4 linked regions of the Ovis aries genome follow. The protein of the gene in region 4 binds, or shares a complex with, the protein of the main gene of each other region. Links are inferred from orthologs where the notes say so. Each region holds a gene or a part of one and is shown on either strand. Other genes may lie near its edges.

Evidence for each region.
Region 1: the proteins of SNAP25 (region 4) and NAPA are in contact, whole or in part, in a cryo-EM structure (PDB 6MDM), measured with the Rattus norvegicus proteins. The link is inferred for Ovis aries from reciprocal best matches to the Homo sapiens genes SNAP25 and NAPA. Residues at the interface, in NP_112253.1 of Rattus norvegicus: Glu37, Lys40, Asp41, Ile44, Arg45, Leu47, Asp51, Glu52, Glu55, Gln56, Arg59, Glu62, Gln152, Asn159, Met163, Asp166, Glu170, Thr173; in NP_542152.1 of Rattus norvegicus: Lys122, Glu155, Glu156, Ser157, Asn158, Ser159, Ser160, Asn162, Pro196, Leu197, Leu198, Tyr200, Ser201, Lys203, Asp204, Ala234, Phe235, Ser236, Arg239, Ser268, Ile269, Ser270.
Region 2: the proteins of SNAP25 (region 4) and SYT1 are in contact, whole or in part, in a crystal structure (PDB 5KJ8), measured with the Rattus norvegicus proteins. The link is inferred for Ovis aries from reciprocal best matches to the Homo sapiens genes SNAP25 and SYT1. Residues at the interface, in NP_112253.1 of Rattus norvegicus: Lys40, Asp41, Ile44, Leu47, Val48, Asp51, Glu52, Glu55, Gln56, Arg59; in NP_001028852.2 of Rattus norvegicus: Cys277, Arg281, Lys288, Val292, Leu294, Glu295, Asn336, Tyr338, Asn340, Arg398, Arg399, Pro400, Ala402, Trp404.
Region 3: the proteins of SNAP25 (region 4) and RPH3A are in contact, whole or in part, in a crystal structure (PDB 5LOW), measured with the Rattus norvegicus proteins. The link is inferred for Ovis aries from reciprocal best matches to the Homo sapiens genes SNAP25 and RPH3A. Residues at the interface, in NP_112253.1 of Rattus norvegicus: Glu38, Asp41, Ile44, Arg45, Leu47, Val48, Met49, Asp51, Glu52, Glu55; in NP_598202.2 of Rattus norvegicus: His617, Ser618, Ala621, Ile648, Ser649, Ala650, Lys651, Gly652, Leu655, Tyr659, Leu662, Lys663, Lys665.

Annotation. Positions count from the first base shown.
Region 1 is NC_056067.1:54,243,052-54,250,739, forward strand, and holds the start of NAPA (alpha-soluble NSF attachment protein), read right to left. Parts: upstream 4,223-7,688; 5' UTR 4,076-4,222; coding exon 3,978-4,075; intron 1-3,977. UniProt on the Homo sapiens protein: Required for vesicular transport between the endoplasmic reticulum and the Golgi apparatus. Together with GNA12 promotes CDH5 localization to plasma membrane.
Region 2 is NC_056056.1:115,391,541-115,398,762, reverse strand, and holds part of SYT1 (synaptotagmin-1), read right to left. Parts: intron 3,752-7,222; coding exon 3,584-3,751; intron 471-3,583; coding exon 303-470; intron 1-302. UniProt on the Homo sapiens protein: Calcium sensor that participates in triggering neurotransmitter release at the synapse. May have a regulatory role in the membrane interactions during trafficking of synaptic vesicles at the active zone of the synapse.
Region 3 is NC_056070.1:61,606,302-61,613,523, forward strand, and holds part of RPH3A (rabphilin-3A), read right to left. Parts: intron 4,476-7,222; coding exon 4,346-4,475; intron 2,873-4,345; coding exon 2,786-2,872; intron 2,640-2,785; coding exon 2,468-2,639; intron 662-2,467; coding exon 623-661; intron 524-622; coding exon 371-523; intron 1-370. UniProt on the Homo sapiens protein: Plays an essential role in docking and fusion steps of regulated exocytosis.
Region 4 is NC_056066.1:3,368,002-3,375,223, forward strand, and holds part of SNAP25 (synaptosomal-associated protein 25), read left to right. Parts: intron 1-2,631; coding exon 2,632-2,749; intron 2,750-2,915; coding exon of another isoform or gene 2,916-3,033; intron 3,034-6,624; coding exon 6,625-6,750; intron 6,751-7,222.

The sequences.
Region 1 (7,688 bases), on a different chromosome or scaffold from region 4:
ACCTTTCTGCTTCCAGGGCAGAAGTTGGGGCTGCTCTCCCATCTCCTGAGCCCTGTCTGGGAGCTAAGGGCGGGGAAGGCAGCAGGAAGGAAGGAACAGAAGCAGCTTGGATCTGAGAGCCGGCTGGTACCGCCTCCCCTCCAGGCTGCTGGTGCGCCAAAGCCCGCTAGTGTCTGGCAGCCCTGAAACAACAAAGGGCAAAGGGCTTAACATCCCAGGCAACCAGGCTGCCCTGGATCCCAGGCAGACGCGACCCTGCCTGGCCCTTTTGATCTGAGCAGAGACCTTTCAAACTGGAATGCTGCCATCACTGAGGTTCCTGAAAGGGGAAGTGGGTGCTGGAGGGATGAGCTGAGCCCTGACACTCCCTCCTGCATTCCCGGAAAGGGGGCTTGTCAAACGTGGAAGCCAAGCAACCCCAGCTCCAGAGGCCAAGTGTCAGAAGCGGTTTCTGCCCGCAAGGCACGTCCTCCTGGGCTGGCCTTTCGGGCAGACAGGCTCCGGCATGCTGGTCTCAGTCTCCGTCTGCAACCCTGCACCACTGTAAGTGCTCTTGGAGCTGAAGGCTCTGGGGTGAACACTCCTGCTCTTCTTTCTTTCAGACATTTGGGGAAAACTGCCATGTGGGTGGGAAGACGGGGAAATCAGGGGAAAGAAACTCCCTGAGACGCCTAGTTTGCCAGCATCCTCCTAAACGGAGTGCCCAAAAATGGGCCTGAGCCTCAAAGAAAAACTCTGGATGGCAGCAAGAGGGCTTTGGGATGAGACAGGCCTGGGTATGAACACCAATGCCCACTCAGTGGAAGACTGGGCACAAGGATCCACAACTCTGACCCCTACACATCCACCTCCAGAAGGGCGTTGTGAGGACCACACGAGAGGATGCACAGCAAGTGCCGGGCCCAGGCCTGAGTCAGAGTTAGAGTGAGCCCTTAATAAATGTTGTCAGATACTATTCCCGTCACTGCCTTCACTCTCCCCCACTCTAGCTGCTGGAGTCCTTTCTACACAGGAGGTCTTCAGCACTGGCCCTCCAGTGAACTGAATTCTTGTGTCCCCTGCCAAAACTTGTGTGTGGAAATCCTAAGCTCCAGGGTGATGATATGAGGAGGTGGGTGGGGCCTTTGGGAGGTGACTAGGTCATGAGGGTGGGGCCCTCGTGACTGGGATTAGTGCCCTTACAAAAGACAGCAGGACACAGTGAAACAACAGCCGTCTGGGAGGCAGCAGGCCCTCGCCAGGAACCAGACCTGTCAGCACCACAACCTTGAACTTCTTGCATCCAAAAATGTGAGAAATATGTTTCTGATGGTTATAAGGTACTGAGCTGATGGTATTTTGTTACAGCAGTCTGAACAGCCTAAAAAGGCCACGAAAATCCTCAGTGCTCTCCAGCACCTCCACAAATCCAAGCCTTTTCTCAAAAAGCCCTCTGGGATGGGGCCTGGTTCTTTAGTCTCATCCCCTTCTGCCTGTTCTACCTTTACGGGCTGACGCAGAACCCCCTGCAGTAAACCTTCAGACGCTGGCCTTCACACATCTGGGCCTTGCTCAAGCTGCCTCCTCTGTTGGGAGCTGTGCTCTCCCACCAGAGAGCACCCCCGGAACTCCTGCTCATCCTCCCAGGTGGAGGCTTCTCCCCACAGGGAGCCAGCCCTGGTCTCTCTGGATCTCAGTTCCCCATCATTTCTGGACAAACCTCCCCTCACCCTAGACCTCTGTTCAGACAATTCCCATTGCCTGGAACACCCTCTCCAGTCCCCACTCCTGTGGCATGTCCCAGGGTTCCCAGGGGCCCAGCTCATTCCTCACCAAGGAGTTCCTTAAGCTCATGCAGCTTCCTCTCAGGTCAGGAACCTCCCACCAATGATAAAATGCAGCCCTTAATCACATGTGACAATTCTGCTTTACTAGTGTGTTAGCAAGTCTTCATCTTGCCTTCCCAGCCAGGTGACAAAGTGTTTCAGGCCCTGACTTGGCTGCTCCTTCCAAGCATGGCCCAACAGTACACTAATCCCCAGGGACCAGACACCAAAAGCCACCCAGTAAAACCATGACCTGACTGAAAACTAAGCTCTTGGCCCCACCACAAAGCACTGCACTTGAGTTTCTCCCCTTGTGAAGGAAGCAGAAACACAGACACGCTCTCCCTACTCTCAGCCTCTGAAAGAAAACATTCCTCACCTAATCAATACAGTCCATCAGCCCCGGATGTTTTTCCACACTAGCGAGGTCTCAGCCAGGTTACTCAAGTTCTTGCGGTGGATAAGTAAACATTATCCACCACTTGTAACAATGAGCGGTTCCCATCTCCTCTCCGGGGAAGAACCCTCCTCCTCATTTCTTACCAACCTCCTAACACCGTCTCTCCTAAAGCCCCAGTCTTCCCCCGCAAACCCCGTCCCCAGCCTTGGCCTCTCTGCTGCCAGGTTCCATGGCCCCTCCTCACAGTTCCTCCTAACTCTCTACACACCCGCCTGTTCCCCTGCAGCTCTCCTCCCAGTTTCAAGAGCAACACAACGTTCCTCAGTCCTCCCTGGCTCTCTCTCCACCGGAGGTCTCAAGCCCCTTCCCCTAACCCTATCAAGTCCCCATGGCCCGAATTCCTTCCCCAACCCCTTTCAACTCCTTACTCATCACATCGCCTCTCCCTGCTCTGACAGCCCCCCTCCCACTTCTCCCATCAAACCCCCACCTTGATCCCCATCAGTCCCGCCCATCAAACCCCCACCTTGATCCCCATCAGTCCCGAACAGGCTCCATACCTGTTTCTTTCCCGGAAATGACACTGATGGTAGCTAACACTTTCAGAGTGATAACCACGTCCCAGGCTCAATTCTACACCCTTTACGCGTGCCCTACTTCAATACTAGTGGCAAATGCCTGAGACAGGTTTCTCTGAGACACCACTTCCCCATAATAAGGGAAGTTAAACAGCTTGCCCAAGGTCAAGAAATGGCAGAGCCTAGGCTTCTGACCTGAGCTTTTGATCCTCCTCAGCCACTAAAATTCCTCAAACGACAGTCATCAGAACAACTCTTATGAGCCAACATGAACTCATGTGAAATGTCTGCCACAAGCATTAGGTGTTGATTCTGTTTCCCAGCCCCCTTCAGCCCTAACCTGGGCATGCCAGTCTCATTCTGCTCACACTGCATGCCCCATCTTTACTCAAAGATCACACAGCAGGCCTCCGGCCCCTTAGGTTTTCTTATCTCCCTCATCTTTCATTTTTATCCCACCAGTTCCTAAACCAAGCTTCACTCCCACTTAGTTTCCAGCCTCCCAGCCCTCTTCGGCCTTCACTCCATCACCCCAGAGCTTCCTCTGTTCAGATCTCACTTGGCAGTCAGGTCTCTTTACACTAGTCACCTGTGACCTGGGCCATATTCACCTGAGACACTTCACGCAATTCAGACTGGGTCCATCAATCGTAGGATCATCTTAGCCCTGACGCCCGGGCCAGAGTTCACGTAAGTCCATCACCCCAGGTCTCGGAAAAGGGACGCCCTCAGGCATAAGTCCTCAGTCTCAGGGCCCAAGACTCCCGTCTGGGATCTTTCAAACAGGCTCTCCTTGAGCTCCAAAAGGCTTCCTAGCCTGGCTTCCCTCCAGGCTCCCTCGGTCCCCGCAGGCCACATTCCCTTCAAGGCCTGAGGCCGTATTCCCCTGGCCCTTTGGCCCGTCTCCAGCCTGGGGCCCCTTCCTGCCTCCAGATGGTTTCGCCTCGGCCCGGGTGTCCTCAGCCCACGGCCCTGCCACAGTCTCGGACAGTCTTTCCTCGAATCACGCTGTCAGTGCCACAGTCCGGCGTCCCGGCCATGGCTTGTACCCTCTGCTGCCTCAGACCATGCCCGTAAGCCCGCAAACCCCCGCGTCCTCTAGGCTCGAGCCCTTCGCCTCTACCGCCGCCCCAGAGCATGACTCCTCCGTCCTCTCAGCCGAGGTCCCGGCCGACCCCTGCGCGCGGTTCTTACCCAAAGAGGCCCGAGAAGAAAGACTGCGAGTTCTTCACTTTGCGCTCCGCCTCGGCCAGCAGCGCCATCGCCTCCGCCTCCTTCCCGGAGTTGTCCATAGCGGCCGCAAAAGTACTCAGCAAACCGCCGGAGCCCTGCCCTCGGAGAACTCAGATACGACCGGGTCGCAGGAGACAGGTCGGGGGAGCTTAGTGGGCTGCGTTGACGTCGCACCGGCGCGCGCCTCCTGCGGCCAGGAACCACGTGATTCGAGCTGGCCAACCAACGGCCTCGTAGCGCGGCGTGCGCACCGCAGACCACGCCCTCTCCAGCCGAGGCACGCCGCCCCGTGATTCACGGCCTCCAATCAGCGATCCAATTTTTAACGCATGCGCATGTATCTGTCTTAGGGTGCCTGGTGCGCTGGTTGATAACCCACGTGATTCCGCACAAGCCAATCGTAGCCCTCAGCGCCAAGGACCCGCCTCCTGGGCTTGTTCCTGCTCCACCAATCAACTTCAGCCTTTGGCTCCGTCTGACTTCCCTGCGGAATTTAGACCCTAGTCAGCTGATCCCTAATCGTCACGTGATAGCTCCATGCCGGAAGACTGGGTTTGACAGCTCTTTTGCGCAGAGCTTAGTCCCCGCCTCCTCTCATTACCTCCTGAAGGTCTCTTTCACTTGGAAAGGCGTCCGTGGGTAAGAAGGAAAGCGGTCTCCGTTTTGTTGCGCCCTCTGTCGACCTATGCTGAAATTGGTTTGGGAAGACCAGAGAAGGCTGCATATCTCATTTTATTGTGCTTTGCTTTCTTGCCCTTCCAAGATACACTTTAAAAAAAAACAAATTGAAGGTTTGTGGCAATCCTGCATTAAGCAGTTCTCTCAGAGCTGTGCGGTTTCCCAAACAGCATTGGCTCATTTAGTGTCTCAATGCCACGTTTAATAATTCTCACAATATTTTAAAGTTTTTTGTTACTCTTGTTAGGATGACCTGTGATTGGTGACCTTTGATGTTATTATTAAGACTGGCTCAGATAATGATTAGCATTTTTTTGCAATAAAATATTTTTAAATTATACATTTCTAAAATAATGCTGCTGCACCCTTAATAGACTGAAGTAGTCTTTCCTGGTGAGTTACTTGGACAGAGGAGCCTGCCCGGCTAAAGTTCATGGGGGTCTCAAAGAGTCGGATGCAACTGAGCGACTGACACACATACACACATAGTGTAAACATAACTTACATGCACTGGGAAACAAAGGGAAAGTCATGTGTCTGGCTTTATTTATGAACTGAACCTGCAATGTCTTAGAGGTATGCAGAGGGGAGCAGAGGTTGTCTAACGCTGGTTTCATTTAAAAAAAAAAAAAGCTAGTGAAACTGTTAAAAATTTAGGTTCAATTATATCTAGCGCCCAGATCTTAGTTTTTAATACTCTTTGTTCTCCAACAAAAGGAACGAGAGCTCCTTGGATAAAAGGCTGGTTCTAGGACACTGCACAGGATGAGCCTGGAAGGTCTTGTAGTTCCAGAAGGTAAGTCTCCTGGCCTCCATCTCTTTGTTTCTCTGCCTCCACCCTCCCACACACACCCCCACACCCCCACACACACCATGAATCTCCTTCTCCCTCCCTCCCTCTCTCTTTCTCTCTCTCTCTCTCTCACACACACACACACACACACACACACACACACACACACGATGAGGTATATCAAAGAGACAAGAGCCAACCGAAAGAGCTCCCAATGTCAAAGATGGAACAATCTGAGCAACAAGCAGCCCTGGATTATAACCCAGTCTATAAAATCTCCATGAGCTCAGAGTTCCCAATAGTCAAAGCTGCAACAATTTGAACAACAAAGTAGCACCTGATTATAACCCAGTCTATAAAATCTCCATGAGCTCATGCTGATATAAATGACTGAAAAATAAATGGTGGAGAATAAACAAATATTCTGTGCATAATTCCAAATAATTTATGTGGATATTCCATTCTCAAGATGGAACATGACTCCACTCCTTCATGTAGACTGTGCACAGACTTTCATCTGCAGAGGACGGTGTTGGGGGCGGAGGCGCTACATTTACAGTGTAGAAGCCTGACAAACGTTGTCAACCAGGTGACGGAGGTTAACAGTGACAGCTCACACTGATGCTATGTACTCTTAATAACGTGTGATGACAGTGGCGCTTCACCTCTGCTGTCTCCCTCACTCTCTGATCAGGAGAAAAGCATCAGACTAACTCTAGTTGAGGCACACTCTCCAAAATACCTGACTACAACTCCTCATAACTGTCATCAAAACAAAGCAAGTCTGAGAAGCTGTCACAACCGAGAGGAACCTAAATGTGGTGTCCTGTCTAGGGAGCATCCTTGCACAGAAGAGGGACCTTGGGTAAAAACTAATGAAATCTGAATAAAGAATAGACTTTAGTTAATAAAAATATAGCAATACTGGCTCATTAACTGTAACAAACATGCCATACACTAATGTCAGATAAATGTAAGCGAGGACTCCTCTGCTGGTCCAGTGGTTAAGAACCTGCCTGCCAGTGAAGGGACCCGAGTTCAATCCCTGGTCTGGGAAAATTCCACATGCTGAGAGGCAACAAAGCCCTTGTATTGCAACTAAAGAAAGCCGTTGCAGCAATGAAGACCCAGCACAGCCAAAGGTAAATTAATAAATAAAAATTTAAATAAGAGGGGAAATTGGGTGTGGGGTATATGATAATTCTCTGCAGCATTTTCCCAATGTTCATGTAAATCTAAAAACTGCTCTACTAAGAAAGCATCTTTAAAAAATTTTTGAGTCCCAGGGCCCTACTGCCAATGATTCAGATTATGAAAGTCTGTGGAAGGGCATTTTTTCCAGGACCCCCAAATGATCAGGATGGAGATAATTCAGGGTTGAGAAGACCCTCTTTTCTGAGGGTGGAGTTTGGCTGAAGGGAGGTGACACACAGGAAACCTTGCCCAGATCTCTCCTGAAGTTCAGAGTCTCTTTGGGACCACCACTTGCGGTTGCCACTGCATTCTGACCACAGATAAGATTTCGGGGGGGGGGGTGCCGAATCTGGATAACCACAAGCAGTTTGGGTTACCTGCCCCTCTAAGCAGCGCAACTATATAAGTTTCCATTTGTTTTAAGCCATTAAGTTTCAGCTTAATTTGTTACGCAGCAATAGATACCTAACATACCACCAGACCACGAAGCCAGCCACTTTCATTTCCAGTCAGTGGGCCGCACTTGAGAAGGTGGGACCCACACAAGGACAGCGACAGCACCTGCGCTCGATGGGTGGCAGCTGCTCAGGTCACACCAGGCACCTGCCAATACCTGCTTTCCAATTTCTCATCCGCAGATACTTGGGGGTGGGCATTTCCCAGTTACAGAAGGAGATAACTGAGACCCAAACAGGGGAGGTGAAATTTGCCCAAGGTGGCAAAGAGGCACAGAGAGCCAGGCTGTCAATCCTGGATCACCTGATGCCGGGGTCCTTTCCCTTTAACTGCAGTATCCACGCTGCTTCAAACTCAGCTTCCTCCTCTGCTCTCCCTCCCCTCCTTTGCAGATTTACTGAGCTGTGAAGTCTCCTTGTGTGCGTGTTCGTCAGTCATGTCCGACTCTTTGTGATCCCACGGACTGTAGCCCGCCAGACTCTGTCCGTGAAACTCTCCAGGCAAGAATACTGGAATGGGTTGTCATTTCCTACTCCAGAGGATCTTCCCTA
Region 2 (7,222 bases), on a different chromosome or scaffold from region 4:
AATACAAGGGGTAAGATGACTTTTTCCCTGTCTTTTTAAAGAAGTACATGTGTGTGTATGTGTGTCTGGCTCCAGGGAATGATCCAAGACCTGCACAAATCTCTCTTTTCCTTCAAATAAGATTCAGTAGACCTGCATACTTTTTAACGAGGTTATGCAATCCCCTGACCCTATTTTGCCAGCTGTCAGCAGCTGGAGGCCCACATTACTCACACCAGCCCAGCATCTCTCAGTAGGTTAGTTTGAGAGTAGCAACTGGCGAGTCCAGCTTGTCATGTTAGAAATGCTAATGTTTTCCTTACCTCTTCCTTCTCTGCACTTTGCAGATCACGCCACTCCTCAGTTACGTGACCAAAATCCACCGTGTTCATGGGGACTTTAAATTCCCCGATGATGTCATGCTTAGAGAAGCGATCAAAGTCATAGACAGCCATCACCAGAGTTTTGCCACCCAATTCCGAATATGGCACCTAGATAAAAAAGACCAGGATAAAATATCTGGTGACCAAAAAATGCTTAAAATATGTTACTTTTTCATAGTGTTTAATTTTAATATTTATGTTGGATAAACAGAACAGGGAGAAAAGTAGCACTTTTTTTCCCCCTTAAATTGCATCATTTGACTAACTACTTGGGGCTTAAGTTACTTGGGTGAAAGTGAGGGCTTACCATAGTGATTTATCACTTTCTCCCAAAGTTCTAGAAGCTGTTAGTGTTATTAATAATGGCTCCTGCTATTAGTCATGCTAGAAATACTTCAAGAGTAAAACAGGAGTAAACCAAGCTGATTGCACTTGACTATATAAGGCACTTTTTCTTGAAGAATGTTTTGTTGTTATTGTTAAGTTATATTGTCAGGGGACAACTTACTCAGGGGTAGTTATTCCAAAAGTTCTATTAACTCTTTGAGGTCATTTGGATGCCATAGTTTAATGAAGCAGTGCTTAATGAGAAGACATGCTAGGAGTCTGTAAGGATTGCAATGAAATTCACAAGGTGCCTCCCCTATTCCTTAAAATAATTTGCTGATTGACAGGAGCTGACTAGAAAATTGATGTTTTGAATATCAGATTCATTATAATCTAGATCTTGAAGTTCATTCTTAGGAATGACACTCTTTAGGATGAGCAGAGGCAAAAGGCCAAAAACTGATGAATTCTCCAGCTGTTCAAAAATATCTGGGACAGATGCTATGGGCTGGGATGTTTATTAGTGACATTTTTAATATTCAGAGAAAGCAGGGCAATTCCACGGAAGCTACACTTCAGTAACTGGGAAGAAATGCCTAATTAAGAAATTGTTTAGACTTGTATTGAAGGTTTCATCAATTTTCAGACACTTGTTATTATTTTATCAGTGTAAATAGTTGTCTTATGCTCCAGCAAACATTTCTCAATTAATTCCGTATATTAAGAAAGAAAGGAGAAGGAAGAAGTTTTGACCGTATATATACAAGAAATTTTGCTTTTTTCCAAAGAGCTTTTGTTGTCTATCATTTGTCATCTATTAGGAATTGGGTTAAAATACTATGATTAAAAACTAGGCATAACCCATTTTCCACTTTAGAATGAAAAAGTAAACCCTTCCAAAGAGATGACTTTGAAAGAAAGAAATTAATTTTAGAGTAGGGATGAGCTCTTGAGAATTGCATCTTATTTCTGAAATTTGTCTAGATTGGTTGGTGATTATACGAAATGACAGTCAAAAACCCGAGTTGGAGGTCAGACAGGTCCAAGACTGGGTTTCCCCCTCTTCCAGCTGAAGGGCCTGGGACAAGTAAATAAACCTAGAATGATGATAATAGTGTCTATTTCTCGGGAGCTGGTTGAGGCCAAATGAATACATGTAAAGCATTTAGCACAGTGCTGGCACACAGCAGGTACTTAATAAATATTTATTGTTTGAATATAAGTAGCTCTTTCAAGTGGACGTTTATTGTGGAGAAAAGGAGCGTTTCATTTGGGGCATGTCAAGTTCATTTTCAGTGGATTTGAACTCAGTTTTAAAGCCAATCCCCTTTAAACTATTTTGCTTCATTTAAGATGCATAATCTACAAAGCCTAAAAGGAGAAACTGGCTAGTTCTCTAGAAACAGTGGTGTATTTTTTAAATGTAGGAAAATATATTGTACTTTGGCTTGATTTATGATGTGATCAACTCTCTTAAAATGAAATGGAACCTGATTAAATTTTATAGGCAATTTCAAAATCTCCCGTGATTATAATTCTTGAAGTTATAGACATTACTAGAAATTATTAGCAGTACACATTTTAAAAAAGAAATAGCATATAGATAACTCAAAACAAAGCCTCACAATATTTCAAATAATTTAAGAATGTGCTAGCTAAACAGTGGCTAGAAACTACTGACCTAAATTGAGATCCACACAGAGTCAAATAGAATGATTCTGATTACCTTTTGCAATATTTTTGTTTTGTTTGTTTTCATTGTACGTTCTGTGGCATATTGATCTCAATGATTAGTTTTTCTTAAACTGAGTAGTTTCAGAATGTTTCTAGAGCTATTCTACATTAGCTGTCTTGGTTTAGAAAAGTGTAGATTTTAAATAGGATTGCTGACAGCACAGAAGGGATTTTTCTTGTCTTACAAACTGAAATTGTAGAGTGAATAGAACGTCAGTACTCTCTTGGAAAACTAGAAGCCAGGTTCATGAGACTGACTCACACCTGAAGTTTCCTCCATTTATTTGGGATATTTGTTGACATGCAGTGTGTGCTGTCGCTAAGGCTGGCTGGTAGATGAGTGATTCTGACTCTGCCTGCTGGCATATTCACAGACATGTATCGTTTTAAGGAATGCATTAAAGAATTTCACATGTTAAAGACACCAACCAAGAGACTGTTTTTACGCATGACTTCAGGTGGAGAACTACAGAGCTTGTACATAGGAGATGCCTGAAGCCCGCCAGGCACCTTTTCCTGTTATTCTGGGGCCAGAATTCCTCTTTGTTATCGTTTGTTAATTGAGGTGTCTCAACAAGATGAAGAACACCAGGAAGAGCCAAGAGGAAAGGAAAAATGCTAGAGCTGGAAAAAAAAAATAATTGGCTTGTATTCTTTTTATTTATGGATTTAGAATGTTTTCAAATACTCAGATTGGCCCTGTACACAAAGAATTTTGCAATGAGAGTAATACCTATTTGTATCATTTGAAATAATGTTGGATAGCTTACTTTATTCTGTGGTTGTGATTGGTTTTCAAAACTTGGAAACCTGGGAAAAGTCTGTAATTTTTTGGCTTTATTTTAGAGAGGGGGAAATGTTCAGGTCCATGGACACACTGGAAGCTGAACTCACTTTATGGACACGAATGACATCCTTGTTCTATGCCAGTCCACACTCTATTCTGAAATAGCTGAGCTGAATCCTATTTGGATCAAATTTAATGCATAGTAGAGCCCTCATTACATTGAAAATAAGAATTATGGATATTCTGAGCAGAATCACTTGTGAGTCTCTGAAAGTGGTCATGCGCATGTATCTGTATATGTCAGGATGAGACTGGTCTGTTATCTAAAACAACAGAGAAGAAGTTCAACAGTAAATACACACACAAAATATACCTTGAAAGTAAACTGCTCGTTGAAGACAGGATTAAGGGTCTTTCGGTGGACTTTTGTCTCAAATTTCTTCTTTTTATCGGGCAGCAGAAAAACCTTCACATAGGGATCAGAGGTGCCCCCCATGTCCAAGGCAGGCAGCTCGGCAGCCTGGATGATTCCTACCAGGAGCTGAAATGAGAGGCAGAAGATGGCCAACATCGGCATTGGTGAACATGTTGGAAAAGACTGATTTGTTCACAAGGCTGCACATTGTGATTGCTCTTTTCTTCTTTGCTTTTGATAAACTTCTATTCTCTTAAGAAGCTGAACACAGAAGGCAAAAGAAATGATATACCCAGACTTCAGAAACTCAATTATGATATACGCAAGCTCTAGGAAGCCTGGTTTTAAACACAAAAGAGGCTTTTTAAAAGGTTGCTGATTACATTTAAATATGGAATTCATATTTGCAAAAGGATTGCAATCAAATAACTTCCCAGTTGCTAAAAGCCCTTGTGTATTATTTTTCTTACCAGAGTGTGATTTGTAAGTGGAAATAAGTTGTTAAACAATCACAAGCCTGTAATTATAAAGCAGGAACATTTTATTTTGAACCAAAGCTTCAGACCAGCTAGATAGAAATTTCTTAGAAACTGGGTAGCTTTTTGAGATAAAAACAAGATCTTCAAGTTTCTATCACATTTGGCCTTTACTTGTATGCTAGCTACTTCTTGTTTTAACTTAGAGTAAAATAATTATTATATATTAAATTCTGTATTTAAATATAGGACATAGGGTCAAAGAAAAATAATTTCAGCTTCATCTAAAAGAGATTACAGTTATGGTTTTAATGCTAAGTGACTGTCTGATTTTATTCAAATATAGCAGAAATCTCTGCATTCTTCACATCTGATTTTCTCAGTGATACATTCCTATTTCTTATTATGAACATGAGTGTTGACTGGCATTGTTCATGTTTTTGCAAAGGAAACAGAAGGTGTGAGTGGACTGTTCTGATGCTCTGCCATCAGTCATGCTGTGTCAACAGACTGGTTTAGATTCATATGGGAAACAAAAGTAGACTCTTACTGTTATTCGAGGGATATACTATTCAGAAAATGCAGAATGTATAGCTTTCACATCTTAAAATGGGGTCTGAAATTTTGAGACTGTACTTTTTTCAACCAATAGGGTGGAAAAGCAATTCACCTCTGAAAAAAAAAGTCACAGCAACTTTTTACAAAATTGATCCATAAGTGCATAAGTGCACTTTGGCCCATTGGCTCAATTTTTAATCTAGACCAATACCCTTAAAGATTGCTATTTCCATTTTAATGTTTCAGTATCTTTTTGTGACTTCATACAACAGTAGCAATAATAATGCTGGATTGTAAGTACACAAAATGTAGACAGATGGTCAAAGGATGGCTAAAATAGACATAAGCTTATAAAGACATGATTAGTAAAGCAAACAGTTTGTCTCTTGCTTTGCCAAGTTGGTATTTGGAATTTGCTTTTGGTTAGCAATGTGAATAAGTGAGATTATATTCTCTCCTTCTCTCTTTTTGCAATACTTTTTCTTTGGGGCAGGGAAAGAACTAGTGATATAGCCTAAAGTCTTTTAAACTTGATCATCTATACTTGAAAGGTTTGGGGGCATTTTGTTGATAAGAGATGGAATTACTTCTTCCAACTCCCCTCTGGCTTCTGCTTGAGAGATAAACATCACATTTTTCTCCACCATGAAAGCTTCTTAGGGGACTTTAAGGATTGTCTTTTAGTTTTGGTAAGCAAGTGTGTATATTTGATTACAGCCTTATCTACAAAAATCCTCAGACTTTATGTTCCATGACTCACAGGAATCATTTTATAAATCAGATTAGCTAAGAACATTCAGAAAAATAAATGCAGAATATTAAATTTTATCAGGTAGAATATTATAGATGCTCAGAACGAAAGACCTCCTAAAATGTGTTTGTTAGAAAGAGAAGAATAAATACATTGCATCATGTTTGAGTAAAAAAAAAATTCAATTCTATATTTTTTTTCAGTACTATATTCTTAAAAATACTACTTTATAAAATGGTACTTATAATACTCAAAACCAATGTAGGAGTTTCAAAATTATGACTAACCAGGATGAGGTACCCCTAGATTTCTATTGAAAAATATGAAAGTAGAATTAATTAGTAGAAAAAGGTTGGATACATATATAAAAGCAGTTTGAGTGAGAATGGGTGAGTGAAAGTCGCTCAGTTGTGTCCGACTCTTTGCGACCCCATGGACTATATAGTCCATGGAATTCTCTAGGCCAGAATACTGGGGTGGGTAGCCATTCCCTTCTCCAGGGGATCTTCCCAACCCAGGGATTGAACCCAGGTCTCCCACATTGCAGGCAGATTCTTTACCAGCTGAGTCACAAGGGAAGCTGTCTGTATTTCTGCAAAAGATGTTTTGTGTTAAGATAACATTTGCTGACCTTGACCTCCCCTAGAATTTATAAATAATAGGCAGTTTTGCTCTTAACCAACCCCTGATAGTCAAATCATGGTATAAATGATAAAAATAACCTAAAATGCCATATTTACTTAAGTAGAAATAGTAGACCTATAATTCTGTACAAATTCATACTTACAAGGCTGTATCTGTAACCAACATGCGGCTTTCTGGAAAGTAAGATAAAATAACGAACTAGGACTGTAATGAAGCTAATTAAATGTAATTATTTACAATATGACCATGCATATCAATACATTCTTTGTAAGGAATCCTCTGGACACTTCAAAAAGTAAAGATGTTATCTGAACTAAATAAAGCCCAGAATTCCTGCCATTACTTAGGGCTCACAGTATTACTGACTTTGGGCATTAGTTATCAGAGCTGACTTTTGGTGTTTGATTTATTTATCATTTACTTCTCATTAAACTGGACATAATTAACACATGCTACAGTTAGGTAGTAACTGTATTTACGTCTATCAAGTTCTTTCCCACCCTGAAAGATCAGTGAACTGATCAAACCAGAAAGATTTAAAACAAACTGGAGAGATTTAAAGCTACCCTAGTTGACAAAGAACTGTGTCTTAATGATTCTTAAGAACCTGATCTCTAACTCAGCTAATTCTTATCTAATTTTTAAAATTTCTTGAACAGTTTAGAAGGTAAAGGGATATCATCATCAAAGTCATAGATCCTAGAAGGTCTTTTTAGGTAAAGAGATTTTTCTTTTTAAACATTTATCTTGGGGTACCATGAAAACAGGGAGTTAATAAAAGCTAGCTAATATTATCCCCCACTCCAGTACTCTTGCCTGGAGAATCCCAGGGGAGGAGGAGCCTGGTGGGCTGCAGTCCAGGGGGTCACTGGGAGTCGGACACGACTGAGCGACTTCACTTTCACTTTTCACTCTCACGCATTGGAGAAGGAAATGGCAACCCACTCCAGTGTTCTTGCCTGGAGAATCCCCAGGATGGGGGAGCCTGGTGGGCTGGCGTCTATGGGGTTGCGCAGAGTCGGACACGACTGAAGTGACTTAGCAGCAGATGCACCAGCAGCTAATATTATCATTCATCTTGGTGGCACTTCACGACTTTTAAAGCCGGAAGGTCTGTTTTTGACACAACTTTTATGGTGGCTCAGATGGTAAAGCATCGGCCTACGA
Region 3 (7,222 bases), on a different chromosome or scaffold from region 4:
CAAACTCATGCTCCCTGCAATGGAAAGTGTTGAGTCCTGACCTCTGGACCACCAGGTAAGTCCTGAATTGAAACTGTTTCCACAGGAGAGATGCTTGAACGCTCAGAACAGAAAGTACCTGGCCACTCCTGCACTCCTGGCTGGGCTAACTAGTCCCCAGGCCTTGCCTCAGGGTCCTGCATTAGCACAGCTTGTTTGTTTGTTCATTTTGGTCTTTGTTCATCCATCCATTGACTCACTCACTCCTTCAACAAGTGTTCCCTGAATGTCTACCAATGGCCAGTGAATAAATGGATAAAACACTGTCCTCCCCATTCCTTTTGATTCTCTTCCGTCAGGAAGCCTGTTTGGATTTGCCCATCTCTCTCACCTGCTGGGCTCTGGCTAGGGTCCCCAGCAGCCATGCCGTGGCTCTGGTCCCAGCTGTCTGAGTCCCGGCCAGAGGAGCTCATTCGTGCCTCAGAGGCCCTGCGCACAGGAGGCCCGTAGCTTCCTCGCCCAGGAGCTGAGGTCATGTCAGGGCCTGAAAGGAAAGCATGAATGGAATGTAGAAAGGGGGACTGGAGGAATGGGGGAAAGGACTCCTGTCCCCAGAGTAGAAGACAGAGTCAGCAGAACCCACCTGTCTTCTGACCTGGGCTCCTCCTATCTTCAGTGTCACCTGCAGAGAGAGAGAAAAAACTGACCAGGGGTATGTATTTGATGTTTTTGAAGAGGCATCACTTAAGAAGCTCACAAAAGGGTCTGTCCACCATTCCTAAGAGCTAAAAAAAAAAAAAATTAAAAATTTCCTCTCCCAATTTCCCCTCTAATGTAGAGACTGCTTACAACATCACATTATTTCCTTTGCAAATGAGTTGGGATCATCACCTCTGTATTCTTTCTAGAATGTGCTTTGTTCACTTACTTTGATTCTCCCCAGGATTCATCAGGCATGCTCCAACCTCAAGCCCTTCGCAAGCGACATTCCCAAAGATTCTATGGGCACTTTTAACCACCTTGGTCAGTTTCTCTCAAATATGTCTCTCTTCAGACAGCCCTTCTCTGACCATTCTGCCCAACATGAAGCTTCTATCCCCTCTACCTGTTTCACTTCTCTTCCAGGCACCTATAACTACCTGATATTTATTGTATTTGCACTTGCTGTTTGTTGAGCATCTGTTTGTCCTACCAAACTTTAATTGCATGAAAGTACAGATTTTATCTGCTTCATTCACTGACTCCCTAGGGTGTAGAACAGAGCCTGGAACTCATTAGGTGTTCAGTAATTGCTTGTTAAAAGAATATTGAAAGTTCATATCATAGGCATAATTCTAAATCTATTATGTGTGAAATATCATTATGTCTTTAAAAATGTACATGCCTTAATTTAAAAATATTTCATTGCTTAAAAAATGCCAAAACAATTGCCATGGTAACATCAAAGATCACTGATCACAAATCATTTTTTGTGTGTGAAAAACTGCAATTACTGTGAAGTGCAATAAAGCGAGGTGCAATAAAATGAGGTATGCCTATAGCATCTCATTTAATCTTCAAAATAACCCCATGAGTTATTAACCTCATTTTATAGATAAGGAAAGAGTTTCAGAGAAGTTAGATTACTCATCCAAGCTCACACAACTTGTAAGCTGCAAAGCTGGAACTCAAATTCAAGTACTCCTGGGCTCAGGTGTTCAAGATGTTGGCAGTTATGCCATAGTCTTCATCTTAGAGGGAGTAATGCTTAACCAGGGAGAAAGATGCTCTAGTGATGGAAACCCAGGGCTACAGGGTATGTTGACAGTTTGGTGAGTCTCTGCAAAGAGCAGAAATTGCTCATGCCTTGCCAGGATAAAAGTATTTGTTGAGTGCCTTTTGAGAGTCAGACATGTTACTGGGTGCCTTGAGAAGCTATGATTGGGCACTTTTTTTTCTTCTTTTTACTGTTTTGTCACTCTTTTATTATCATTTTAATAATTAATAATAATAGATAATAGTGATAATATCCATAGTAGCAGTAATTTTCTTTTTGCTAATTTCCTTTTTATTCATCTTTCACTTTTAATTAGTCTAGTTTCAGATTTGCTGGTGATTGATATAAGAAATATCAGGAGAAAATAAGGCCTTTTCAGCAAGCCTCCAATCCCCTGCCCTCCAGACTCCAGTGCGTACTTTGGTGCTGGGAGTCCTTCTCAGTTCCTAATTTTGACTTCCACCTCTGCTGTACCTCTAAACACTCCATCAGGCATGACAACAAAGCCTTTTGGCAGCCTGGCATTGCTGGAGAGTTCCCTGTGCTACTCTCTTGATAAGGGTTCATGGTGAGTTGTGAAAGGGACATAGGAGTTCTAGACCAAAGCCCAGAGGCTGGCTGGCTGTCCACCAGCTGGGTAGAAACACAGACATGATGCCAGGACACCCTTCAGGTAGACCAGTTAGCCAAGATCTGTCCTTGGTCCTGAAAGCAGCAACTGTATTTTCCTACCTCGAGTTGGAGCTCGGGCAGGGTGCTTGGGCTCAGGAGTGGGCTGCTCAGGGGCAGCAGGCACAGGCTCACTGACTGGCTGCTGGGGCTTGTTCTTCTTTATGGGCATAGGCTGTGGGAGGACCTGTTTGGGGAAGCCCTTGAAGAACCATGCTCCAGAGCGCTTCCACACCTGGAGGAGGAGAGGTAGAAGATGAAGACATGGCAGCTGAGCACTATTGCTCCTGTCTTGATGAATGCTAATTTTCCACTTTGCTCCCTGTCCTCAGAGCACCGACACAATAGGCTCCGGGAACCGAATGGGACCCATCCACTCACCTCTCTCTGCTCGATGCAGATTTTGCAGAGCCACACAGGGTGTGGGCGGTTGTTGGAGGTCTCCACCCCACACTTGGTGCAGACATTCTGGAGACAAAACACAGCCCAGTGCACACTCAAGATATGTCAGGCTCGGAGCTGCTGGTAATCGGAAGTGGCTGGGAAGGGTGGCAACAAAGCCCTGTTCTCCCTTGTTCCTCACCTGCCTCCCATGACCAAGGCCAGTTAGAATAAAGTTCTAATTTGAGTCCTGATTTCTGATAACAAGAACTGGAATCATTCCCAAGCCCTCAACGCAGGGATTCTCCAAGAGTCTCTGTGGGGCCTGAGTTTTCAGCATCCACACCAGGGAGATCATTGACATAATTTTTTAAAGAGCAACTATTTATCTGTTTCTTTATTTCTTCTTTCTTTCCCAAATGAATTAGAGACAAGCTAGACTACGACTACAGGTTCAACTCCTTACAAAGAAGGAAGTTATCTGAGTAGATGCTGTGACTATGTGATGGAACAGGATACTTTTGGCTGAGTTTCCTGCCAGTCAAAACAAATAGGTCACAAAATTCTCACTATCTAGTTGACTACAGAAGGCAGGTTTTTTGGAGTAGATAACCTTTCCCCAATACTCCATTCTAAATGCTAACTGGGACCCCAAGCAGGAGAAGTCAGGTGATATTATGGACCTCTCCAGCTGGATTGTTCCCTTGAATTCCTTTCCTGGGAATCAGACAGACCCAAGGACAGTTGTGTTTCTGTCCTGGAATGGTCAAGTGCAGACAAGGTGGAAAGCATACAAGCCCCTAGAGTGAATGCTTGAGGCTTTCCTGCCAGTCCAGTGGCTAGGACCTCATCTTCCAATGCAGGGGGTGTGGGTTGGGAAGCTAAGATCCCACATGTCTCATGGCCAAAAAAAAACAAAACATAAAACAGAAGCAATATTTTAACAAATTCAATAAAGACTTTAAAAATAGTACATGTCAAAACATCTTAAGGAAAAAAAAAAGAGTGAATGCTTAAGAAGACCAAAGTCTAACTTGGCCTAACTTGGCTAGAGACAGGCTTTCTAAAATGGCTTGTACTATAACCCAGGGTAGAGCATGCTGTGTATGCTTTCCATGTACACATGTATATAGACATAAGCCCAGCATACTTTTTTTTTTTTTTTTTGCCATGTGGGATCTTAGTTCCCCAACCAGGGATTGAACCTGCACCCTCCTGTGGTGGAATCATGGAGTCTTAACCACTAGACTACCAGGAAGTCCCCCAGTATCCTCTTTAGGATGACCAATATCTTGCTAAGCCAGAATACCTGTAGGTTCAACCATAGTTCATGTTCTGCCTCATTCTCCCAAGTTCATCCTGTATGGAGCAGAGCTCCAAGGGGACAGAAGGGTCAGCATGACATCTAGGGGAGGAACCATGAACAGGCACAAGAGCATGCTAGAAGGAATCGATCCAAGCTCCATCCCTAAGACCCAAGGCCCCCAAAAGGCTGGACCCCAGGCTTAGGCCCTCTGCATGGGATGCGCAGGGAAGCAGGGAAGGGGAAGGAGATGGTACCTTCTTACAGTCCTCGCACACCACACAGGCGGAGCCCAGCATCCCCAGCTGCTCTCCACACAGGATACAGCGGTTCACCCCGTCCCCGGCCACATTCTTCCTCATGTTCTCTAGGCGGTCCACCAGGCGCCTGGAAGCAGAGTCAGCGTTATATGGGCCTTACAGGACCAGGGGCCACCAGCAGCTCCCTCAATATCTGGCTGATGGCCTTAACCTTCTTTGGGGCACATATTCTTGAGTATCTGATGATGACTAATTGGGCCACTCCCCAGAAAAATGGTACATACATTCTGATATATTTCAGAACATCATGGAACCCCTTCCCTGTACCCCAAAGCCTGTCTATTCTACTAACTTCAGATTAAGAACTTTAATCTTTCCTCCTGTCACCTCCTCCAGAGACAGTCTTCTGAACTCCAGATCTTTTTATCTAATTGTCTACATGATGTCTCCACTTGGGTCTCAAACTTGCACTTTCAGCTCAACTCTTCATCCTGGCTGCTCTTCATTCCACCCCCAGTAAATCTGCTCCCATTCTCAGGGAGCAGTAGCGCTACCCACTAACTTGCTCCAATCAGAAACCTAGAGGGTCTTCCTGAGCCCCTACTCTCCTGACATTCAGTGACCCTACCAAGTCCTATTGTGTCTAACTCCACACCATTTCCAGAATCCACCCACTTCTCTGTCTTCACCTCAGCCAAGCCACAGACATCTCTCCTCCAGGTGACTGCAGGAACCGCAGGAACCTCTCAGTCCCTGTGTCTTCATTCATCCCCTTCTATCGTCTGTTCTCCCCACCACAGCCATGGAGAGATTCCTAAAACATAAATCTGATCATGGCACTCCCTCTTCCCCCTAAAACCTTTAGCTGGTTCCCATTCCACAAGGTTTCTGTGATCCCATGTGGTCTGGCCCTGGATAAAACCCTAAACTTCTTCTCCCTCTTAGTTTTATTTCAGTATTATAGTTCAGTGGTTCTTTAAGTCTGATAACCAGACCATCAGCATCAGTGTCTCCTGAAAATTTGTCGGAAATGAAAATTCTTGGGCCCCACTCCAGAATAACCTAATCAGAGAGTCTGTGGGTAGGGCCTGGCAATCTGCTTTAGCAACCCCTCCAGGGGATTCTGGCAAAAGTTTAAGAACCACTGCTCTGGTTACCCTGGTCTTTTTGAGTTCTAGTTTTCCTAACTGCCTCAGTGTTTCTGTACATTTTGTTCCTTGTGCCTGAAACATGCCTTTGCCCATTGCACATCTTTGTGATCTTTCTCTCTCTCTCGCACACACACACACAATTTTCCTGTCTAGATTCCCCTTATCCTTCATATTCCATATATATTTCATATTCCAATATCCCTGCCCCTTAGAAAACTTCTCTGACTACCCATTTTATTTACTCTAATTGCAACCGTTCTGCATAGCACTTGTCTCATGTATAAGTAATTGTGGGATTGTCCACATTAAGTAATTAGGTAACTGTGAGTCCATCTCTAGACTATGAACTCCCCTGGGTCAGGGATCTTGTCTTCAGGGCCAGAACAGTGCCTGGGCCACAGTGAGTGTTCACACATGATGGTCAAATGAATGAATGAATGAATGCAGCCCACCCCCCAAATATGTATTCAGCAAAAGCAAGCTGAATTCAATGTCCAGTGACATATAATAGCATCTTATACTTAATGAATACATAGTGCTTATTATATGCCTGGCATGGTATGAAGCGCTTTGCCATCCAACCCTAGGAGGTACTATTAATAAGCCATTTTGCAGGTAAAGAAAGTGAGGCACTTTCTTTAAAGTTAAATTACTTGCCCAAGGTCACACAGCTAGGAAGCAGCAAAGCTAAAACTGAAACCCACGTATCTTATGTGCTACACTGTGTGTGTGTGCGTGTGTGTGTCTGTTAGTCGCTCAGTCGTGTCTGACTCTTTGCAACCCTATGGACTGTAGCCCGCCAGGCTCCTCTGTCTGTGAAATTCTCCAGGCAAGAATGTTGGAGTGGGTTGCCACTCCTTTCTCCAGGGGATCTTCCTGAGCCAGGGACTGAACCCAGATCTCCTGCACTGTAGGCAGATTCTTGACATTTTGAGTCACCAGGGAAGCCCATGTGTTACGCTAACCCTTCTCAAACTTAATGTGCATACCAGTCACACTGGTATCTTGTTAAAATGCAGATTCCAAGGCATCAGGTCTGGGGTGAGGCCTGAGGTGCTGTGTTTCTACAACTCCCAAGTGATTCCACACTATGCTACTGGTCCCAGGACACACTCTGAATAGCACAAGGCTGCACATGATGACTCTACCTGTGGGGGCATCCTGCTTTGATCTCAAGTGCGTTGTTTTTGACACTTCCTACCAGCCTGAGGGGCTTCCCAGGTGGCGTTAGTGGTAACCCACCTGCCATCCCTGCAGGAGATGTAAGAGACACAGATTCGATCCCTGGGTCGGGAAAATCCCCTGGAGAAGGAAATGGCAACCCACTCCAGTATTCTTGCCTGGAGAATCCCATGGACAGAGGAGCCTGGAGGGCTATAGTCTATGGGGTCGCAAAGAGTCGGGCATGACTGAAGCGACTTAGTATGCACACAGCAGCCTGAAGTCATCTGCTTTTTCCCTCAAACAAAACCTTACTGTTTCCGTTCCAGCCACCGCCAGTGGACTCAGATGAAGTTGGACCCTGCCCACCCTTCCACGTGCTGGCTCTCAGCTGTGGACACCAGAAGCATGAGAACCCTTGGGATGGCACTTAGGCATCACAGGGTCCAGGAGGTCCCTGGCCAGCCCTGCTGGCAGCCACCTGATGCCAACTCTCCCCACGGCCATCTCTCCTCGGTCCCGCCATCCACTCAAAGTGCTCTAGTCGCTGTCTTGTAAATAG
Region 4 (7,222 bases):
GGATCAAGCACAAGCTGGAATCAAGATTGCCTGGAGAAATATCAGTAACCTCAGATACGCAGATGATACCACCCTTATGGCAGAAAGCAAAGAAGAGCTAAGAGCCTCTTGATGAAAGTGAAGGAGGAGAGTGCAAAATTTGGCTTACAAGTCTGCATTGAAAAACTGAAGATCATGGCATCCAATCCCATCACTTCATGGCAAATAGATGGACAAAGAATGGAAACAGTGACAGACTTTATTTTGGGAGGCTGCAAAATCACCTCAGATGGTGACTGCAGCCATGAAATAAAAGACACTTTCTCCTTGGAAGAAAAGCTATGGCCAACCTACAGAGCATATTAAAAATCAGTGACATTACTTTGCTGACAAAGGTCCATCTAGTCATAGCTATGGTTTTTCCAGTAGTCATGTATGGACGTGAAAGTTGGACTGTAACGAAAGTTGAACGCCAAAGAATTGATGCTTTTGAACTGTGGTGTTGGAGAAGACTCTTAAGGGTCCCTTGGACTGCAAGGAGATCCAACCAGTCCCTTCTAAAGGAAATCAATCCTGAATATTCATTGGAAGGACTGATGCTGAAGCTGAAACTCCAGTACTTTGGCCACATGATGCAAAGAACTGACTCATTGGAAAAGACCCTGATGCTGGGAAAGATTGAAGGCAGGAAGAAAAGGGGCAACAGAGCATGAGATGGTTGAATGGCATCACCGAATCTATGGACATGAGTTTGAGTAAGCTCTGGAAGTTGGTGATGGACAGGGAAGCCTGGCGTACTGCAGTCCATGGGGTCGCAAAGAGTCGTACATGACTAAGTGGCTGAACTGAACTGAACCCAGAGATGTGCTTCAACCCCACCTCAGACCAACTCTGCAGGAAGCCCTTAGCAATTCCTCAAATGGGGATTGTCATCCCTATTCTGTCATTCTTAACATGCTTCTTGTTTTGAAGATACTGGGCTCCACTTCCCCAAACCAATCTCTCATTTGATAGTTATTTTGATCTACAGACTAATTTATTGCATTCCTTAAGGAAACTGGGATGAAGTGTTTGGAAAAGTACAGAATTATCTGGAATGTAAAGAGTTGTCATCCATTTTTTTTAGCCCCTTCAAGAATTTTCTTAAAGATAAGAGTATACCTATATTTATTCAGCAAAGTTTTGCCAGCACTATACTGTTATTTCCTGTGGGTATCACATACTGGATAAACATTCTGTTTTCCCTTGTCTCTTGAAAACCAGAGCAGAGACAGCAAATTCCTAATAAGCTGAATTCTGTTCCTCAGCCCCACAAAAGACAACACAATAGCTTCTTATTTTCCAAATGGACAGGCAGTCTCTCCAGTTTGGAATGACAATTTAATGTGAAATTGTTTTTAAGTAATTATTTATGCCCTTTTATACAGGAAAATATTTACTAGTTTTATTCTAATCATATCTTTCTTCCCAGAGGCATAGGCATGCATGCATGAAAATATAGTTGAAAAGAGGAATAGAAATGTAATTAGGTTTTGTAAATAGCCAGCCAGGACATCCCACTGCTGCCTTAATGGTCTTATGCACCCAGTCACTATGCCGCTTTTGACTCTGTGTGACCCCATGGACTGTAACCCACCAGGCTCCTCTGTCCATGGGATTTTTCAGGCAAGAATACTGGAGTGGATTGTCATTTCCTCCTCCAGGGATCTTGCGACCGAGAGATGGAACCCTCATCTCCTGCAATGGCAGGCAGATTCTTTGCCACTGAGCTACATGAAAAGCCAAAAAGTCATAAAAGCTGTTTTAAAAATCACTTCATGTAACTTGTAATTTACTCAATTTAATGACACCACTTTTGAAAACTTAATCAAGTTGATGAATGTAACCCTGGCAACCTAGAAGTATGATTCGTTTTTATGGCCATCAGTCTATGTCTTAAGATACTGTCTAAGGTCAGCTTTCCTGGCACTGATGACTTAGTACTGTTTCATGTTCCAATCCATCGCCTTTCTCCAGGAATTTAATGGTCCAGTACCTGTAATGTTGCTGTGCTGATATTGCTTTTCTTACAGCTTCTATGAATTGAATATTCAAAACCAAAGACTGCCTATGGCCTGCCTTTGGCTAAACAGCCATTGCTAGGGGGAAGAAAAGATATGGTACCTATTGCTAATTATCACTATAGTTGTTATTCTTCCCAAAGGAGAAAGTGGATTATTTTCTATCCTTAGCTGGTTGAGGGTGCTAAAAACCAAAAGAGAGAGATGTTTTAAAGTTGAAGCAGACACTTCCTCTAGCACCATTGCATTTGAATGCCTAAAACAAACTAACACCCTATTTTCTTTCTCTTGAGTTTCACTGGTGTCTGAGTAAGTGAATATGCTGTGCTGTTTTCCTGGACATTCAGAATCAAGCAGGCTTATCTACTCCATCCCATCATGTCTGAACTATAAACTATATGAGCATCACTTTTGTTCATTTCCTTCCACCCCTGGCTGCACAGGGCATCGACAGCCGATTCTAGCAATGCATCTCCTCAGACAATGCATTGTAATAGCTCTCCCTCTTTCTCAAATTCCGTTTCATTTCTCATGTTCTGTTGAAAACCCCCAAAAAATTCATTCCACACTGTCATCCCTTTGTCCTAACCAGAACAACTCGATCGTGTCGAAGAAGGCATGAACCATATCAACCAAGACATGAAGGAGGCTGAGAAAAATTTAAAAGATTTAGGGAAATGCTGTGGCCTTTTCATATGTCCTTGTAACAAGTAGGTACTGGGTACCAGCTCTAATCTGTGGCGTCCAGTTTTCTTTCTTTCTTTTTTTTTTTTTTTTCTTTAATGTCAAAGTGAATGTCTGAAGTTTTGTCTTTTTTTTCTTTGTCCTTTTCCATCCGCTTCATTCTGTGGGGATAAAATACTTGTGTTTAATCAGAACAACTGGAACGCATTGAGGAAGGGATGGACCAAATCAATAAGGACATGAAAGAAGCAGAAAAGAATTTGACGGATCTAGGAAAATTCTGCGGGCTTTGTGTGTGTCCCTGTAACAAGTAGGTGCTGCCTGCCTGCCTGAAGCTTTGGTTTCCCAAGGCCCATCTCCAAGCCTTGACAATCTCATTCCTGCTGGTGCAAAGGCAGGATGAGTATGTGGCATGCAGAACAGATCAATACCGTCTCTAATGCATTCATCTCATAGCATAGATGATATTAGTGGGAGTAAACTGTTGATGCATTAAAAATCAGGCATACTACAGTGAAAGCTTCACTGTCAGCAACTTTTATTGATGAACGTTTCAACATTTTCCAGAAAGTGTACCTCAAGACAGAGACTAACCTCAAGAAAGAGGCGCCACCCAGGGAATTTTATGTTCTCTAAATCCCCGAAACCAAAATTGCAGATTTAGAAAAGACTGGGGGTAAGTTTGGAAGTTGAGATACACATATGTATCAAGGTTTGATTTTTCAGAAGCAAAAATTACAGGTAATTTGGCCCAAACAAGCATTCCATAAGTTAGAGAGTAAGTAAGACAGAGATTCACCCTTTCAACTGCCCACCAGTTACCAAATCTGGTCAGCGGTTAGACCATAGATGCCGCAGCTGCACCCAACGCAGAGGCAAAGAGTCCTTCAGCAAGAAGTGCTCATGCCTTAGCCAAATTGGGCCCATCCCTCTCCAATTCTTCCTTTAGGAAGATCTCCCGTACACTGGCCGAAATGTTGAAATGTGTAGATTTTGCATGCACGACATCACAAAACATTCAACTGTTAAGGTTCTGCAACGCTTTTTTGGAATGTAGCAGAAATGTGACATGTGGTTATAAAGGTTTGCAACAGAAGGAATCTGAAAATAAGTGTTCTGGAAGGTAGTCTTATTTGACTAGCAGTGGAAAACAAAAAATGCATGAGTGGATTGTCCAACATGCATTTGGAAGATTAAACCTGTTCCCCGATCCCCCTCACCCCTCCTACTTCCCTTTGAACAGAAGCCTTTTTCTAAAAGCTCTCCTGATCCTAGCTTTTAGAATAGAAATCGATGTCATTTCTAGCTGATTATATGACCATTCACATCCTTTAAACTTTGAGGCTGATTTAAAATATCCCACTTCCTGTTTAGGAGGGGAGGGGCTCAATTTACAAATAAATTTAAGTTTGTTTTTTTTTTTTAAAGAATGATCTACAGTAAAACCTGATTAACTGGAATCTAGCTAACTTGAACCTTTGAGTATATTTATATTTTTGTTTGTTTCGACTTTTAGCAAAAAGAGGCAAATAAACAAAGGGAAAAATCCCATTAGGGATTTAAAAGCATTTCTCTTAAAGGTCAGTCTAGGCAGTTTGCATTCTCTCACTCAGTCTTCATTCTCTAAGTTCCACATCCAAGCGGACCAAGCAATGAAAGCTGAGCTGCAGAGGAAAGGCAATCAGACATATCAAGAGAAACCAAAACCAAGGAATGCTTTGATCATGTTCCCTGCCCTAAGACTCTAAGGCAGGAAAGTGGCTCAAGGTCTAACAGATAGTCAGCCATCACTCTTGAAACTAAGTTTAACTCCATGGCCCACTGTGTTAAGAAAGTCCTATAATTCACCAAAATAACATTCCCAAGCATTCCAGTTAGTCAAGATTTAACTGTTCATCATTTTCAGTGGCCACTTGCCCCCAGGTGAGATGTCTACCTCTTTTGTGATGAATTTCATAGATACATTTTCCCCATCCACCAACTGTGTGGACAAAGGGTGGAGGCAGGCCCCCCTCCCTCCCTGTGACAGACTCTAATGCTCAGATGAAATCACGACCCCTGGGAATTCCAGGTACCAGTTGGCACTAATTCCTTATTACACAAGAGACCCTAACTGAGCTTCAAAGCTTGACTGAAGTGTTCCCTATTGTGTGTAAATAATGCTTTAAAAACCATGTGTCACAGCACAGTGGCTGGTGGCGCCCTGCACTCTCTGGGGGCTTCGCCCTGTCCCGGCATGTTTCGAGGGACTACGGTAGATGTCCCGCAGTTATGTGAGTCTATGTGCAGCATTGTGGGTGCAGTGATTTGCCTTCGTTCCGAAACGCAAACTTTCCCACTCCCTTGACTGCCAAAGATGGTACACCGGACATTTTACATAGCAGAAAGCATCACAAGGTCCATATAACTTCTGGTAATGTGAGGAGGGAGGAGACGGGGATTCGGAAAATAACAAAAACAAAGCCATACTCTAACCTTTATTAAATTCATTTTTGGATCCTGTCCCACTAAGTGGCCCCGGCTCTTTAGAGCAGTGAATTCTGACTGCTTGAAGGCTATGGCATTATACATTAAATGTGGGAGTTGCTGGAATTCCATCTGTACAATTTTCCAATTTGTCTCCAGGGTTTCTTGGTCCCTAATCTGCAAATATTAGTCTTAGTGCCAGTTTTAATAGATGGCTATGGTCCTCCAATAAAAAAGAAGAAAAAAAAAAAGGTTAAATTCTGGTGTCGTATAATAGAAAATACAAAATGTGAAAACAGGACCGAAAGAAGTTCTGTTCTTGGACTAAAAAGCGTGTGGTTTCTACTATGCAAAGAACATAAAAACATCTTTGATTGCTCAGTTACAACACACCCACCAAAATATGCTGCACACGTGTCTATTGGGCACAATAGGTATGCCTGGATTTTAAGTCTCTCTCCAAGGCAGCTCAGTGAAATATGGCCCACAGAGACCACACCAGTTCCATACCACTTTCCCCTACCACATCCCAGGATAGTTTGAAGTAGGCAGCTGTAACCACTCCCATCCTGTCCCTCAGTCCAACAAAGAAGCTATTGAACCTGCGTTTCAAATCCTCATGAAGGCTATTACTGTCCTGCTAGTGCCTTTTTTGAGAATGGTCAACTTCTGGAGTAGTTTGGCTTAAATGAGAATGCTTCACTTTCTACTCATGCCTGTAGCTGGTGCATGAAGAAGATGTAGAGGGATTTCCCTTTCTGGTGCTAGATGGCTTGTTCTCTCTTCTCTTTTCCTGCATTCATTTCACTATGCCTCTTTTACTTTTTGTCTCTGTGGACAAAGGTTTGTACATCAACTCTGGATGTATGGTGACTGTTTGGAAGTACCGATATATTATCTAATTCGAATCACTCTAGAGGCAACTCAAAGACCATCACCCTTGGCCAACCACCAATCCTGTATGTTCTCCACGCAGAGTGAGAATGCTTGGTTCTGCACATGCATTGGGGGAAAACAATTAAAACGGGAATCTTTGCATGATGGTGTGTAAAACTTGGTCCAGGATGTTTTTCTTGATGACAGTGTGTTGCTGTGGTGTGATATACACACTCTACTTGGCAGTCTTGTTTTGTGTCTGTCTGCCAGTATGTTTTTTTCTGTGTTTTGTGTCTCAAAATATAATTAGAACTGAATGTCCTCCAACTACGTTAATCCTTGTCTTAAATCCAACTAAACTAACAAAAATGAAATCCTGAGTAGCTGAGGCTTGGTGGTGGCCAACTGTTTGGGTCTGGATTATGATATATCGGTATTCTCTAATGCCTCGAATTAAAACTCATTCGCTTGGTTCGGTTCTGAGCTTGAAGAGGTAATGATTGTTGTGAGCTTGATGCGCCGCCCCTTTTGCTTGTCACTCACCCTCTTTTTTGCATAGGCTTAAATCAAGTGATGCTTACAAAAAAGCCTGGGGCAATAATCAGGATGGAGTTGTGGCCAGCCAGCCTGCTCGCGTGGTTGATGAACGGGAGCAGATGGCCATCAGTGGTGGCTTCATCCGCAGGTGAGCCTTGTGCAGCTGGCGCTATAGCGGTTGCCTACTTTTGAGTGACAAACTACTCCAACCTGAGTGGTTCTTAAAACAACACTGGGAAGTTCTCCGGCAGTCGGATGGTTAGGACTCGGTGCTTTCACCATCATGCTCTGGGTTCAATCCGTGCTCAGAGAACTAAGAGCTCATAAGTCGAGTGGTGCCTCCAAAAAAAGGAAAAAACGCCATTTTTTTTTTTTAACTTCTGAATCTCTGTGTTGACTGAGCAGGTCTTCTGAGAGCATCTCCTGGGCTCGCTCATTACATGCAAGTGGGTGCAAGATGGTCTAAGACAGCAGTGCTTTCTTGTCTGGTGATTGGCTGGGGCCGTGGGTATGAGGCGTCCCTCCTCTTCTATGCGACCTCTCCCCAGGAAAGCCCGTGGTTCTTGCACGGTGGTGGCAGCACCAAGGGGTAGGCTCCCATGTGCAAGCACTTGTCAAGC